3 linked regions of the Bombyx mori genome follow. The protein of the gene in region 1 purifies or fractionates together with the protein of each later gene. This does not show direct contact. Links are inferred from orthologs where the notes say so. Each region holds a gene or a part of one and is shown in the gene's direction. Other genes may lie near its edges. The genes, in order: U2 small nuclear ribonucleoprotein auxiliary factor 2, pre-mRNA-processing factor 19 and cleavage and polyadenylation specificity factor subunit 6.

Evidence for each region.
Region 2: the proteins of U2 small nuclear ribonucleoprotein auxiliary factor 2 (region 1) and pre-mRNA-processing factor 19 purify together in Homo sapiens (affinity purification with western blotting; 3 studies listed by BioGRID, with this or other methods). This does not show direct contact. The link is inferred for Bombyx mori from reciprocal best matches to the Homo sapiens genes U2AF2 and PRPF19.
Region 3: the proteins of U2 small nuclear ribonucleoprotein auxiliary factor 2 (region 1) and cleavage and polyadenylation specificity factor subunit 6 fractionate together in Homo sapiens (co-fractionation; 3 studies listed by BioGRID, with this or other methods). This does not show direct contact. The link is inferred for Bombyx mori from reciprocal best matches to the Homo sapiens genes U2AF2 and CPSF6.

Annotation. Positions count from the first base shown.
Region 1 is NC_085123.1:10,727,660-10,731,422, forward strand, and holds the start of U2 small nuclear ribonucleoprotein auxiliary factor 2, read left to right. Parts: upstream 1-1,311; 5' UTR 1,312-1,436; coding exon 1,437-1,452; intron 1,453-1,526; coding exon 1,527-2,099; intron 2,100-2,375; coding exon 2,376-2,458; intron 2,459-3,532; coding exon 3,533-3,655; intron 3,656-3,763. UniProt on the Homo sapiens protein: Plays a role in pre-mRNA splicing and 3'-end processing. By recruiting PRPF19 and the PRP19C/Prp19 complex/NTC/Nineteen complex to the RNA polymerase II C-terminal domain (CTD), and thereby pre-mRNA, may couple transcription to splicing.
Region 2 is NC_085116.1:17,083,803-17,086,654, forward strand, and holds the end of pre-mRNA-processing factor 19, read left to right. Parts: intron 1-267; coding exon 268-444; intron 445-1,049; coding exon 1,050-1,291; intron 1,292-1,599; coding exon 1,600-2,230; 3' UTR 2,231-2,331; downstream 2,332-2,852. UniProt on the Homo sapiens protein: Ubiquitin-protein ligase which is a core component of several complexes mainly involved pre-mRNA splicing and DNA repair. Required for pre-mRNA splicing as component of the spliceosome.
Region 3 is NC_085120.1:8,928,710-8,932,472, reverse strand, and holds the start of cleavage and polyadenylation specificity factor subunit 6, read left to right. Parts: upstream 1-1,197; 5' UTR 1,198-1,291; coding exon 1,292-1,357; intron 1,358-1,471; coding exon 1,472-1,675; intron 1,676-3,763. UniProt on the Homo sapiens protein: Component of the cleavage factor Im (CFIm) complex that functions as an activator of the pre-mRNA 3'-end cleavage and polyadenylation processing required for the maturation of pre-mRNA into functional mRNAs.

The DNA of each region.
Region 1 (3,763 bases):
TTTCTTCCGCAGAAAAAGGTAGTTTTTTTTTTTTTTTTTTTTTTTTTTTTGTTGTTTTTTTTTTTTTTTTTACGGTATTTGGTAACCATACATGGTTTACAAATTATTACAATTTTGGTGGCACTCAGTGCCTCAGTGCCGTCGGTGTCTTCAATTGCCCCCCTCTGGATTGTGCCAGATGTTACGGACTATGATTGTTTATAATGTTTGGCTTACCTTTTGTACGAGATCGTGACAAATAGGATTGTAGCCCTCCGAGGGACTGAATAGATTTCAATTTACTATTATCAAACAAAAATTCCTCAATGAGTGGCGCGTTGGCAACAGGATACTTTGTTAGAGACCACGGAAATTAAACTTTGACGTCTTATTTCTATACATACGGCCCTTTTTTCCGTATACAATTTAAAACGCTTTTTACGGGTAACTTGTACGACGGAGACGATTTGTCAAAGTTTTCAGTAATTATGTTACAAAGATTATTAGTTTAAATCTGTTGTGTTTTTGTCAAAATTTCCGTATTGACGAGATCAATTTGTTTACAACAATTTTCGTTACATTCAATTGTTACACACAGTTGATGCATTATTAGATTTACAACGTCACTGACCTGGTGGGATAACGAGCCGATTCGAAGATCGACCGTTACCTTTGAATCCCGTCGTTTCTTACGCAGAGACTCCTTTTGTTCTTTTTCGCTTGACGAGCTGTTCGAACGCGAGGCGTCTCCATCGCGTCTCGCCTGGACATCTTCCCTCTCGGAAATTATGGAGCTTGACTCAACATCACCTCCAACAGATGACGCGTGATTCATGGCGTCCGATGATAGGATTGGTAAATAATACTCGTAATGATTGCAAAATAACACTCATAGAAACACAAAATAAATATTTTTTGCAATTAATAAGAAGTCGAATAAATATTTGTGGACTTGCGACTTCACAGTACGAAAGTACACAACGCTATGAAGATCAAAGATGGCTGCGCTCCCTTTATACTTGCTGGCAGCACCTAGCGGCTAAAGATGGAACTAAATTGACTGTCTATGGTTGGACATAGACAAGGAATCTAAGCTAAGTACACACTGCTTCTTCATAATACAATGCTGTATGTTTTCCAAAGGCACATCAATGATTAATTAGCTATCATTATTACACATTTATACTTGAGGAAACACCAGTTCTGCGTTCGCGTCCGAAATTTGTCCTAGGGCAAGCATAGGATTTTAGTGATGATTACGTATCAGGAAATTCACTATAGCATCATTAGCCAAAAGTCGAGTAACCAACGTCCGTATAAAAAAATAACAGACGCCATTTCACGGAAACTGACTTAGATTTTATGTTGATGCCAACGCTAATTATACTAATAACGCTGAAGCGCCTTTATTACTATCTCAAGAAATAGTTACTGTATTACATATTTCCGTAAATAAGATGGGGGAAGATAAAGGTAAGTAGTTCACATATCTATCTTGTAAAGTTTTGAAGTGAGGTTATAAAATAAAATGCTCACAAATATTACAGACCGCCGACGAAGGTCTCGATCCCGAGAAAGAAAACGTTCTAGATCTCGATCTAGAGAACGAAGAGAAAAAAGAAAAAGCAGATCAAGATCGCCCAATAAACGTTCACGTAGACGTAAGCCTTCGCTTTACTGGGATGTACCGCCGCCGGGATTCGAGCATATCACGCCATTACAATACAAGGCGATGCAAGCGGCGGGTCAGATTCCTGCCAATATTGTCGCCGACACACCACAAGCTGCCGTGCCGGTGGTGGGTTCGACTATAACACGTCAAGCGCGAAGGTTATATGTCGGCAACATACCCTTTGGCGTCACCGAAGAAGAAACAATGGAGTTTTTCAATCAACAAATGCATCTATCGGGCCTGGCCCAGGCCGCCGGCAACCCTGTTTTGGCTTGCCAGATTAATTTAGATAAAAATTTTGCATTCCTTGAATTCAGATCAATTGATGAAACGACACAGGCAATGGCTTTTGACGGTATTAATTTTAAAGGGCAAAGCTTAAAGATTCGACGTCCACATGACTACCAGCCTATGCCAGGCACTGAAAACCCAGCAATAAATGTGCCTGGTAAGTAATTATGATATTGTGATATTGTTATTACAAACAACTTTTCTTATAAAAATACATTTAAACTACATTAGAAGATACTATAGATTTATCTATCAAGTAATGAGTCTTGAACTCGATTGAAAGTGCTATTTTTTATTAAGAAAATGCAATATTTAAAATAAACTGAATTTTGTTGTTATAATTCTACAGCTCTTTTTAAACTCTTGAAACAGCATTAATTACAACTAAAATACTCATTACTAGTGTCTTCATTCAAATATTATTTTGTTACAGCTGGTGTTATTAGCACTGTTGTACCTGATTCCCCACACAAGATCTTTATAGGGGGATTGCCTAATTATCTAAATGAGGACCAAGTAAGTTCCTTGTTTTATCTATTAAAATTTATAGTTGAAATTAAGCATTCAAGAAACCATAATTTAATCACATCATGATCAAAATCAAGTTTGGAGTTTTTTAAAGCTACACATGGTTTTTGGATTAAAGTAGAGGTACTTATTTTCTGTATTTTTGATGTGATCAAATTAAGCTATTATTTATAAGTACTACTTACCAAAAAGTTTTTATTTTTAAACCAAATGAAAACTCAATTCACATAAATTATGGTTGATTTATGTTTCCCACTAAAAGAAACCTTTTGATAATAAAAAAATGGTTATATTATACAACATTCTTCTCTCATTGTGATTTGTAGAGTTGTGTGTTACAGGTTTTGACCAGACAAAATGGAAATAATAATTATGTTGGTTATGATAAACATAGAATTCTCTTAGATCGACAAATTCAAGTATTTTGGACTATAATAGTTATTTCAAAATCCTACTTTAGGTAATGTTAGGACATTAAAAGAACCATGAGTTTGTTCGTTCCCAGTAGGTAGTTATAGCGTACTAGATGCCGCAACAATTTCAGGCCGAGATTCAACAGTTGACAGGACTTAGGCCCCGGTGACGCCAGCAGTGAGCCGCGTTATGTTTTGGTCCGTTTCAGGTATTTTCAGGTACCCGTAGCGTGGACGAGCGTGTGCGTACCACGCTCGGATGTTCTCAAACAACTCACTGATATAGTTTGCTTTCTGCCCTCCCTAGCTTAGATTTGGCACATTCGCGGCCCGCGTGTCACTGTTGTCTCTCATTCTCATCTATACGTCTTGTACTTGAACGAGACATCGGCACTTCAAGGCAAGTCTCTTCCATTCACATCTGATTCTAACATGCGGCTAGACACAGGTCAGATAGCATAATTCACTTATGTAATTTGCTGCATTTTGATGAACAGATTTAATGGGAACACAACAATTCAAACATACAATACAAAAAACATTAGCATTAGAAATGTCTATGCTGATCATTATGAATATGTAACGTAAATTAATACAATGCTGGGAATTAAAAGATTATTATTTGCTCACTAATTTTGTCATGAAACAGGTAAAGGAATTACTCATGTCATTTGGTCAACTCCGGGCCTTCAATTTGGTGAAAGACTCTTCAACTGGGTTGAGCAAAGGCTATGCTTTTGCTGAATATGTCGACATTTCTATGACAGATCAGGTAAATAATCATTATGTCACCCAATTTATTAATTTATTGGCTTTTGCATAGTTAAGGCCAATTTAATTTTTAAAAAAACTTTAAATCATAAATTAATTTTATTTTCAC
Region 2 (2,852 bases), on another chromosome or scaffold:
TGACTTAAAATCTGTAGTAAAATTTGAATAGGTTCATATTGTTTATGTTTAATATTATTTGTCTATGGTCTAGTCTTGGCGAAATCTGTGATTATAGAAGTATAATAAATAGTCTTTGACAATAGAATCATAATAATGTTCAAACGTATAATTTCAATTAATTATAGTCGAATTTCGACTACTGCGGGACCACCAGTATAGACAAGTAGCTACCCTAATGTGTCACTGATTTTAGATGCATCATTTTAAATTAATTATTTTGTCCAGACGGAGGCGTCAGCAGGCAGTGCGGGAGCAACAGGCATGTCTGCGGACGTGGTGTCTCGTCTGCAGGAGCGCGCCACCGCACTCACGCAGGAACGGAAGCGCCGAGGCCGCACCCTGCCCGAGGGACTGCTGGCACCAGAGCAGATCAGAGCATTCCTCACTCTCGCATCGCATCCTGTATGTATCTAGCGCTGTGCAATAATAGCCTTTCGAAATAAGTAAACAATAGTTACCTCTAGAAATTATAATAGGGGGTCACAAATATAAGTGTGGGTGGTGAAATGCTAAAACACTCAGTGTACTCATATTGACTATGCTGAGGTGAAAGTTTCCTAACAGGTACCAATTTTTCTAAGAAAACACTTAAGTGTCCTAACATATGTACAGGAATTAATTGGATTAAGGGATAACATTATCGTGGTGGTCGCACTTATTGTAACACGACCCAACTGACTTCACCATGAATTAATGGGTATCAATTGGAAGTGTGGGACACTCTTTCTACTATAAAACTAAGACTTAGACCTCATATGTTTGTGTGGGTTGGCACCATTCATGTTGTGATATCCCATGCTCCAGTGACCACTTACACCAGTTGGGCCGTGAAATCGCAAATAAAATGTACAGAATTTGTAAAATTGCATATTTACTACTATATTGTGATCCAACACACTTCTAGAAGGGACTTCAGTCATGCACTACAATTATCTAAAAGTAGGGCTGACATACTTTGATAATGGTTAAGTATTTTAATTTTTTTATATCATCTATGTTATTTTCAGGGTCTTCATTCAGCCAGTGTTCCTGGTATCCTATCTCTGGACATCAATCCATCCGATCACAGTAAACTTTTGACTGGAGGAAACGATCGTAACGCAACAGTCTTTAATAAGGATACTGAACAAGTTGTGGCCATTCTCAAAGGTCACACCAAGAAAGTCACCAGGGTTATATACCATCCGGATGAAGATACGGTCATCACAGCCTCACCAGATCATACCATACGGGTTTGGAATGTGCCAACGTGAGTATGGAGATACCAAAAGAATGATATGGAGAAAATTTTGCTTATTTACCTAAACTCCGTAAATGTAAAAAAATCAAAGGTCATGTTCATTACATAAAGGAAATCTGTGATTTTTTTTATTATTTTTATTTACTACTGGGAATAGGCAATAATGGATTTTTTAATCTGTCTTGGGAATTAGCTTCTTAATCAACCATTGTAAATCAACAGCTAGGTGCTTACATTAAAATATTCAAAATAATTTCATTCAACTAAGTAAAATCAAATAACTATTACGTTATTTATTTATCTTGAAATTGTTTCAGATCTCAAACAACGGCAATACTACGTTCTCACGACGGTCCAGTGACCGGCCTGTCCCTGCATCCAACCGGAGACTATGTACTCTCAACCTCTTCAGACCAACACTGGGCGTTCTCAGACATTCGCACCGGACAACTTCTGACAAAAGTCAGTGACTTTTCTGGAGTGAGTCTCACAACTGCACAATTCCATCCGGACGGTCTCATTTTTGGTACTGGAACGGAAAACTCACAAGTGAAGATTTGGGATCTAAAGGAGCAAAGCAATGTAGCCAATTTCCCTGGTCACGTAGGACCAGTTACTTCCATTTCCTTCTCGGAGAATGGGTACTATTTAGCCACAGCTGCTGAAGACTCATGCGTTAAATTATGGGATTTGAGAAAACTAAAGAACTTTAAGACCATTCAGTTGGAAGAAAACTATGCTATCAAAGAGTTGTGTTTCGACCAAAGCGGTACATATTTAGCCATAGCCGGTACTGATGTGAGGGTCTACTTGTGCAGACAGTGGCAGGAATTGAAGGTGTTCAATGATCACACTGCTTCGGCCACCGGTGTCAGGTTCGGAAAGAACGCACAGTATCTCGCTTCCACCAGCATGGACCGGACGCTCAAACTTTACGGGATAGAATAAGAATAGATATAAGTTTAGATGGATGGCTCGCTTTTTAATTGCTGTAAAATGTGCATTTCAAATTAAAATGTAATAACTGGAATTAAAATCTTCAGATATTATTTCTGTTTCCTTACATTGGGGTTCAACGCATCCATCACTCATGCTCTTGCAAACCTCACCTAAATTATATCAGCAGCAATCATGATTGCCTGAAAAAAAAAAAAGTTCAATTATGTTTTCAATGAAAAATAATAATTGAACAATCAGTGTGTGTTCAGCAACTACTCTACTCGTTCCTGAGCCGCTAATGTTAAGTGCTTTTATTGTGTTTATTGTTTCAACAGAACAAAGTACAAATTATACAAATACTGTTATGACTATTATACCGGTCACTCACATTCGCACGAATACGCAAACCCACAAGTGTAGGACGACATTTGCAAAGTATTATGCAAAGTTTTCGCTGCATTCGTGGTTTTCGAAGCTGTGTCGGTTTTTAAAGGACATCAAAGCGCGCGAACTGCGATCCTTCGCGAAGTCTCCCACACATTCGTGTGACCATTTGTGCCCACGATTGCGAAGGTAACGGACGTTTCGCCATTTTCATAGTACGTGACGTCTACTGTGTAGCGCACCTTCA
Region 3 (3,763 bases), on another chromosome or scaffold:
GCGTAATCGCTTCGATGGTTTTTATCCTGTTACCTACCTATTTTGGTTAAAAAATTATCAAGAAATGATACCTTTTTCAATAGCTGATGACTGGTGCCCAAATTGAACATTTACTTCAATCCAGATTTACACCAGTTTTATGAACATATAGGTATGCTATGAAAGGTTTTAATGTATTAATAGAGTTTCAAGCAACGTTTCCAATAACTACTACAATTATCGTCCGTAGGATACAAATTATACATATCAAATATAGAACACCTTGATCAAGTTGACTTTTTTGTAATTGAGTAATTTTGTCTATAATAATATATAAGATCGCCAGAAATATCATCAAACATGTTTGTATTTTTAACACTCTTATTCTACGTCAGTTTCAGATCATTGCTCATTGGGTGGCAAAAACCAGTGCTTACTTTACTTACTGATCAAATGCGAAAGACAATTTGCCGAGAGTTTTCTCTTATGGCCTCCCCCGTACGTGTTTTTAAAAGTGTAGTTGGCTACTATTCATATTCTTTTAAACTTTTACTTTACTTTTTTTTGTATCGGTATAGGCTAAATCAGTTTCATAAGTAACAAAAGTAATAGTTATTTTCAATTTTAAACCTTCAACTATTACTTATATGTAGCTAATATAATTTTTTAAGCCTTAAACCTAAAAAATAATAGTTGTTTAATGTACATAATTTTTGTTTTTTTTTTTTTTTGTACACTAAAAATGTGCCCAAAATAATTTTGAAAACATTTTCAACACGACCATTTTACGTGGGAATTCGAAAATATTGTGTTAGCTTGGCAACATTGACCCAAATTCATGGGGTCGGGACTTTTTGGCGGGAACGCGAGGAGTGAAGTTGTGTGATTTGTTTTATTTTGTCTATTTAGTGTTTCTTCAGGTTTAAATGTGTAATAATGGTGGTTTATTAACTGTTTAATATCTGTGAAAGTGCACAAATGTGGGAAAATGAAACAAAGCTGCTGGACGTAACTTCTCGGGTTCCTCCAAAAAGTCCACTAAAAAAATCTCAGTAAATGACCACCATTTTACTGCGATTATATTTCATCCCATATCATCTCATTTCATTAAATTTCATCCCAGTTGATTAATGTCTCAAATTAATCATCTTCATTTCATTTCACTCCATATTATCATTTTTCATAAAATTAAGAAAATAAAGTAAAATAAGACATGACTTAAAGGTCTTAGTTACCAGGTCATAAAATCTCTTAAAAAAAAAATTTCATGGGGTCGTAAGTAGGAGGTAGCATTTTTTCACAACTTCGTAAAATGGCGGACGGCGATGTCGATATAGATTTGTACGCCGATGATATAGAATCCGATTTTAATCGCCAGGTAAAATTTACACTCTCCTAATTCAGTACACCTAAACCTTACAGATAACTCTTATAGAGAAATCGTAACAGTTGTTAATCTATTTTTGTCACGATGAATGGCGGCATTTTACAGGATGAATTTGCTGGCGAAAATGTGGATTTATATGACGACGTGATCTCAGCACCAGCTTCGAAGCCCGAGGACGGTGACGGTCCTCCCATCATTGCTCCAAACCAGCATCCACCTGAGGAAACTAACGGCAACGCCTCATACCACGGCCCGGTTCACGGACATCATGGCCGCCGTTTTCAACTTTACGTCGGCAACCTAACATGGGTTCGTACTTTTTTGTCCTAGACTATTTGTAAATATAAGTACGATATTAGTTTTTGCGTTGTACTGAAAAACTGATATCTTTTGAGTTGTCATCTCGTCTTTCAGGGCTTCATACTATCAATAATTATTGATTTGCATCTATTAGCCGCCATGCCATGATAAAAATAGCACATGCAATTGAATTTGAGCTATCGTTCATAAAGTTATTTAAAAAAAATGGTTTTTGGTTAGCATAAAGCTAGATTAAATAGTTTTTTGCGTTTAGTTCAAGCTCAATAATTGTTATTATGATGGCATGTTAACTTCAATAAAACAAAATATGAAGTACATACATTTATTATTGTGTATAATACATAAAATATAGTAAATAATAGCTAACAGTTTTATAGTAACAGATCTATGAAACTATGATAGTTATAATAAAACAACGTACTTGTAAATAATATATTTATAGAAATATTAAAGTAGTATGTACGTTTAAAAACAGAATGTGGAGAACTTAAAAACCTGTTCAGATGACAACTCAAGCAACAGCAACCAAATGGATCTGTTGTGTAAAATGAGTTACGAAATATTTAATTTTTAATATTTGTTAGGATCTACTTTTAATTTTGCAACACACATTTATCTTTTATACAAATGTTAACAAATTATGTTTAAAATTTAAATTCACAAAATCACTGCACATTAAGTTTTACTGATCACATAGATAAATGTTTGTTGTACTGAATTAATGAAACAAAAAGCAACCTATATCTTATATTATGTGTTAAACTAATAATACCAAGAAAATACTGTATTTATTTATAATTATTTTACAAAAAAAGGCACAGTCAATCTATATTGGTGAAGAGCTAAATTTTGATAGAAAACAAGTGTTTTTCCATGAAATTGTATTATGTACAAATATCAAACAAATGTGTGCTTTAATGTTTCACGGGAATTTAGTCTGTCCATAACTAGTAGTAGATAAAGGTGTGTACGGCTCTCAGTCTTAAATAATTATAAGTTAAAAAAAACAATTGTTAGTTTAAATTATCAATAAACCTGGAAAAAACTGTAACAATGAGGTACTTGTTAAATTGATTTAAAAATTGTTAAATTTGTTTTCAATTGTTTAAACATAGGATTAGTAATATAATGATAAACTTTGCGAAATACATAATCAGAAACTATAAGTGAATAAATATAATAAGTAAGCGCGAGACCTGTCATTACAACTGTTATGAGATTAAGCAGGAAATTGTATGTTTAACTTTAAAACTTGAAAAATCATCCGGTTTCAGTATAAAAATACTGTTAGTGCTATAATTATGTACTTGATCAATGTATCCTAAGATGTTTTAAAATACCAGTCTTCAAATACATATATTAATAATTATAATATATAGTTCAAATAAAATATTTTTGGGAAAACTAAAAAATAAAAAAAAGTTTGGATTTGATACTGGTACAATTCCATGGAAAAGCCCTTAATAAATTAGTACATTATTTGGTTGCTAATTGTTATCATTAAATATCACTTTATTAAAATTATATTTTTGTTGTTGATGATGGTAAGTATAAGAAAATTATACAAATGGTTGATATGCTGTGAGTTACGGATTTTTGTGTTTTAGTAAAATTTAACTTGGAACTTCATGTTCAAAGTCATGAACTTGCAGTTAAATTCTGCTAAGAAAAAAGCAAAAACCAGAATTTTCTTTATTTTTTACTTCATGATGAAGAAATGACTTGTTTTTGTTTTTAAAGGCTTGTACAATTACGATCTGTTGAGGTGAAACTGAAATTTTCATAAAAATATCACGAGCTTTACATGTCAAATTAGATCACTATTTTCCACTTAAACTTTGAAATGTATGTGACATTCACTAGAATTTTATTTTCTTAATGAAGTTGAGAAATTCCGAAAGGACAATTGAATATCAGAGCTATTTACAATCACACATGGTGATACAGTTTGAGTTACGGATTTAGAGCATTTACCGATTAATTAATGGTAGGTGAATTTTGAAATCTAGCAATGCATTAATAAATGGTAAAGAAAAGGTTTGTAATGAAATTGGTTGTATTTAGTTAGTAACTCCT